Kluyveromyces lactis: one gene and its partner. The protein of the gene in region 1 purifies or fractionates together with the protein of each later gene. This does not show direct contact. Links are inferred from orthologs where the notes say so. Each region holds a gene or a part of one and is shown on either strand. Other genes may lie near its edges.

Region 1 (3,138 bases):
ATGGCAAAAAGTAATGGTAAATGTATGAGGTAGATAGAAGATTTGATAATAATACTTGGAGTTTTTTTTTTTTTGGCAGACATCAATTGTTCGGAACCAAATAGAAGTCGGGAAACTTGCAGATTGGTATGTCTTTTATTTGCATGATGTCATTTGCTCAATAAAAAGGTAAATGAAGGTTAAAATCTATGCAAATGGTTACATTGTGAACAGAAGTCGAGGTGTCACAATGAAACGTCCCGTTTCTTACTTTACCAGTATTAACAATCATTGAATAATTCTCCTTGTATTCTCTCGCATATTATATTGCGTCCTCAACTTATGTTGCGTGCTTCATTTACCGAAGGATATTTTTTTGAAAATAGTGTACAGTGTGGTCAGAAAGTTAACGCATTAATCGACAGACAATGTAGCCATACGATAAGATTGCTTCTGCTGAAGTGAATGTGAATGGAACATTTGAATTGGAAATAATTAATGGGAGTAAACATTTAAAGAAATGAAAACATATGACATAGAACCATAATGGTGGGAAGATAATATTTCTGGCAGACGTTGAATTGTAAACATGATCACCGTCAGAAGTCTAAATTTGCAATCGTCATGTCATACTTTTATGATTTATTTTCGTTATAAAGACATTCTTCATCTTTCATTCAGAAGTTATCCATAATGGCTTGTCTTTGTTGAGGTGTTAAAGAGGTTGGATAATCGATCTTGAACTTAATAATCAAATCACCTCTTTGGGAAGGATTCTTTGACAGTGTCATACCTTGTCCGGGATATGTTGAGGTTTGAGTAGGTTGAATTGGCTGCGTTCTTGTGATTGGAATTGTTTTACCGTCGATGGTTTGTACTTGCTTGGAGAAACCTAGAAGAGATTCTTTGAAAGAAAGTGGTAAAGTGTAAATCAAATCATTGTCTTGTCTGGTGAAAAATTCGTGTGGTTTTTCCTGTAGAACGAATTGTAATGTTTGTCTACCACCAGTTCTTGGATTATAGTCACCTTCACCTTTGAAAGTAATCTTGGTACCTGCTTTCCAACCTGGTTTCAATTGGATGTCAATTTGGTTCTTTTCGGACACACCACCGGCGCCTTTTCTTGTGATCTTGAATGATTTCTTCTTACCGCTGAATAAATCTTCTAAGGACACAGGTAGATTGACCTGAACAACTTCTTCTTCAGGTCTAGCCTGTTGTCTACTGAATCCACCTGGCATTCCACCTGGCATTCCACCTGGCATACCGCCTGGCATGCCGCCCGAAGAGGAATGGAAACTACTGCCTCCAAACCCGAAATCATCACCAGACCCGCCGCTAGCAGAGAATCCAAATGGAGAAGCACCTCCGGCAGCACCTCCTCCACCAAAGAACTGTGAAAAGATGTTGAAAGCGTCATCTTGTGAGAACGCATGTCCCCCGGCAAACCCACCAGAAGAAAATCCTCCAGGCCCACCAGGCCCACCAGGCCCTCCCGCTCCTCCAAATTGAGGAGCATTACCACGAGCAGCCTCTAGACCATAAGTATCGTAAACTTCCCTCTTCTGAGCATCTGAAAGAATCTCAAAAGCCTCAGAGATTTCTTTAAACTTCTCAGTGTCACCTGTAGGCTTATCTGGATGATACTTCAAGGCAGCCTTTCTGTACCCTTTTTTAATCTCGGCTTCACCTGCACTAGGCGAAATTCCTAGCAAATCATATAATTTAGTGTCCTTAACCATACTCCTACGACGTTTCAAATTTGGTAATTGTCCTTTTGTATATATGTCGAATGATAGTTCAAATTAGCTCTATCTAAACTAGAAGAATTAGAGTAAACTAAAAGAATCAGTTAATGTTTACACTGTTTCGAGATACCAATGGGACAAAAGATGCAATAAAACTCTTCTCTAAACATGTCGATCGAATACCAACGACCAATAATCTTTGAACGAAAAACATCCTGTTCTTTGAAAACCTTTATATAACATTTCATTCCTATATATTCAGGTTCAGTTCTGTTGCAACCGATCATGTTCTTTCAGAGTATACCCTGGAACCTTCTAGAAGTAAAAAAACATGAATGCTTTAAGCACGCGAGATTCATGTGACAATCACGTGATATAGAAGTTTCCCACCAATACAAATCTGTCATCACAAAGCCGCAAATCAGGTGTCATTCAATGACATTAGCCACTACACAATCTTGTGGCTATCTCTATGCCTCCACTTTTGTTTCAATTGCTGTTGTTTATATCTCAATCATGAATATTGACAAATTATGGTTTAATGTGATAAAGAATATGCAATATACTAGATGAAAGAAAGTCTTAAGGAATCTGAGGAGTTTTCAAGGCTTTTTCTCCCCTGTGAACAAGGTAGAGGTTTCTTATTGTGTACGGTCAGACTAACTTCAATATTGCCATGTCTGTTATTCTAGCGAGTGCTGGATACGACCACACAATTAGGTTCTGGGAAGCTTTGACTGGAGTCTGTTCACGAACCATTCAACATGCAGATTCCCAAGTGAATCGATTAGAGATTACGTCCGATAAGAAATATTTGGCTGCTGCTGGTCATTTACACGTCCGTCTTTATGATATACGGTCGAATAATCCAAATCCGGTGTCCTCTTTCGAAGGCCATAAAGGGAACGTAACGTCGATTGCATTTCAACAGGAAAATCGATGGATGGTATCGTCTAGTGAAGATGGGACTATTAAGGTTTGGGATGTACGGTCCCCATCTGTGCAAAGGAATTACAAGCATAATGCACCTGTCAATGAAGTAGCGATACATCCGAACCAAGGGGAATTGATTTCCTGCGATCAGGATGGGAATATCAGGATTTGGGATCTTGGTGAAAACCAGTGCACAAACCAGCTGACACCAGAAGATAACACGCCATTACAGTCGTTGTCCGTTGCAAGCGACGGATCGATGCTTGTTGCAGGAAATAACAAAGGGAACTGTTATGTATGGAAGATGCCTCATCACACGGATGCTTCCACTTTGGAGCCCGTAACTAAATTCAAATCGCATACTAAATATATTACCAGGGTCCTACTATCGGCGGATGTAAAACATTTAGCAACATGTTCAGCAGACCATACAGCTAGAGTATGGAATATAGAGGATAATTTTGAACTTGAAACCACT
Region 2 (2,745 bases), on another chromosome or scaffold:
AGTATCTGCCCATATGGTATGAATTGTTCGATATTGAAAATAAGGGTAAATTCATTGCATGTGTGACAATAGTGATGTTAATGTGCATTGTACCGCAGTTGACAGAGGCGCAAGACGAAAGCGAGTGTTTGTATTTGTTATTGAACTATCCAAAACTATGCGTACCGATTGAAAAAGTTGTGGGATGGGCAAAGATCATGTACGATTATCGTGCTGTTAATACCATAGATTCACAGCATGCAGATTCAGATGCAGATGCAAATGCATCGCCGCTCGAAGAAGAAATTCTACAAGGTAGTAACGGTGAATGGTACAAAAAATACAAAGATTATGACGTAAATAGACTGCGGATGGAGATGAGGTTGAAACGACGTGCAAAATGGCGATTATCCAAGTGAAAAATGCTTGACATGCAGGTTTTCCTTGTTAACTTTTTTGTCTTTAAAATTTATTTTATTTCATTGTCTTAAACATAATAATCTATACTAAAAATAAGAAAGGGAACATTATTTCATCTATTTCTTACCTTGAGCAGCGACTGCGGCAGCACCTGCAGCAGCAGCTTCTGGGTCCAAGTAGTAAGAAGGCTTGGTTGGCTTCAAGTTTTCGTCCAAATCGAACACCAATGGGATACCGGTTGGAATGTTCAACTTAGCAATGTCAGCATCGGAGATGTGTTCCAAATGCTTGACCAAAGCTCTCAAAGAGTTACCGTGGGCGGTGATCATGACGGTCTTACCTTGTAGCAACTCGGAAGAGATGCTGTCTTGCCAGTATGGCAACAATCTGTCAATGACTAGAGCCAAGGATTCGGTCTTTGGCAAGACACTTGGGTCAACGTCACCGTAACGTGGGTCGTTGCTTTGAGAGAATGGAGAGTCGTCTTCGATAACTGGAGGTGGGATATCGAAGGATCTTCTCCAGGTGGTGAATTGTTCTTCACCGTATTGTTCCAAAGTGGCAGCCTTGTCCTTACCTTGTAGAGCACCGTAGTGTCTTTCGTTCAATCTCCAGGATCTAACGACAGGAATCCACAATCTGTCAGCTTTTTCCAAAGCAATGTTAGCGGTTTGGATAGCTCTGGTCAATTTGGAAGTGAAAAGGATATCTGGATTAACGTTGTTTTCCTTCAACAATTCACCAGCTCTGGCAGCTTCTTGTTCACCCTTGGCGGACAACTTAACATCGACCCAACCGGTGAATAAGTTCTTTTCGTTCCATTCGGATTGACCGTGTCTGACTAAAACTAACTTTGGCATATTATATTATTTTTTTTTGGTGTTGATTGGTTATTGGGATTACAGTAATTATTATTATTATTATTATAGCAGTATTAGAATTAATGTCAAAGAAGCCTTTATAAGTTCTAGTAATGCGATCCTTTTATAAGTCAAATCAGTTTAGAAAAAAAGTGGACGATGGGTGATGTTCATGGTGATGGTGAGGTACGCTGACCTGCTGAGTAGCTGCTGAGTAGCTGCTGAGCAGCTACTGAAGCAGGTGCTGTGGCAGATGTCGAGCAGCTCCTGTTCAACTACTGGCACACAACCGGGGGACACGAACATGTGATGGGAATGGTTACAGGAATCCCGGGGCGGGAAGCCACTGTTTCTTCGAACGAGAAATGAGAAGCCAGAAAAAAAAGTGGATGCTCCGGGAACCATACCGAAAAAGGTGGAAAGAACCAAAAAAAAAAAAAAACACATATGTTACCCGGATGCAATATGTTGCATCCGGGTAACATATGCGGTTTCCACTCACGTGCTATGGATATTTGCTTCCATCACGACTTTCATTTTCTTTTGACGAACTGCCGATCGCGGAAGTGCTATTCCCTACTTCTCGTCTATGAAGAAGTTAATAAAACAAACAGGCAAACCGATACTGGACATTTGTTTCAACCCTTAAGGTTTTAAGTCCGTACTTGCTTCTCCAATAACCTTCCGTTTTTCGAGTCGGCTTTTGCAGTTAAGTATCCCTCCATTTAAGTTTATTTGCCACTAACATATGCTCCTCCCCGCTAATTAAGGGTACTTCCTAGAAATCCCTGCACGGCACGGACACGGCTTAGCCAACTTTTTTTTGTGCTACTGCGTTTTGTTGTCGTTACTTCCCCCCTCGCAACAATTAATTCGGAAGTTGGATGAAAACTGAGGTTAACAAATAAGAAAGAGAGGGGCCACAAGAATCCTTACGCCGACGACAAAACAGCCGACTGATCACACTTTTCACCCTAGAAGTGAATCCACCCAGCCATCTATAGTACGGAGTAGTGAATTTGCTTTACGTCTATAGTCTTTTCGCTCCAGGAGAAACCCTTAGGACACTCCCAAGTGGGTATTTCGGATTCTCCAATTCTATGCGTGATCACATCAAATCCCCTTAAAAAAAAAAAATGGAACTTCTCTCAGAACACCAGTGAGAACAGACCAGCCGCCTCGACGGCGGCTAGTCGTTTGGAAAAATTACACAATCCTCTGTACCGGTTATCGCCAGGCTTGTTCTGATGTCCCACTTAATACTTAGCTTATTCAGCCGTTTCAACTCCGGCCTTATCTATGAACCCTTCATCCTTGACATCTGACATCTGACATCTGACATCCAATGGTACCAGGACAATGGTGATACTTTTCTCTTCGTTTCCAAATCGACGTTCCCCGCATTTTCTCAGCCGTGGCACCACCACGCAATCTCATCTTTATTTTTGTACAGCCGGTCCGCTATTCTATTTACAATTTACGTGTG

Evidence for each region. Proteins that work in one complex are often made in the same cells at the same time.
Region 2: the proteins of SIS1 (region 1) and GPM1 purify together in Saccharomyces cerevisiae (affinity purification with mass spectrometry; 3 studies listed by BioGRID). This does not show direct contact. The link is inferred for Kluyveromyces lactis from reciprocal best matches to the Saccharomyces cerevisiae genes SIS1 and GPM1.

What each region holds. Positions count from the first base shown.
Region 1 is NC_006040.1:410,959-414,096, forward strand, and holds SIS1 (type II HSP40 co-chaperone SIS1), read right to left. Parts: upstream 1,722-3,138; coding exon 657-1,721; downstream 1-656. Other genes in the region: TOR complex subunit LST8, read left to right, coding at 2,404-3,138. UniProt on the Saccharomyces cerevisiae protein: Required for nuclear migration during mitosis. It is required for the normal initiation of translation. Might mediate the dissociation of a specific protein complex of the translation machinery. Essential for viability.
Region 2 is NC_006041.1:1,049,599-1,052,343, forward strand, and holds GPM1 (phosphoglycerate mutase GPM1), read right to left. Parts: upstream 1,260-2,745; coding exon 516-1,259; downstream 1-515. Other genes in the region: GTPase-activating protein GYP6, read left to right, coding at 1-398. UniProt on the Saccharomyces cerevisiae protein: Interconversion of 3- and 2-phosphoglycerate with 2,3-bisphosphoglycerate as the primer of the reaction. Can also catalyze the reaction of EC 5.4.2.4 (synthase), but with a reduced activity.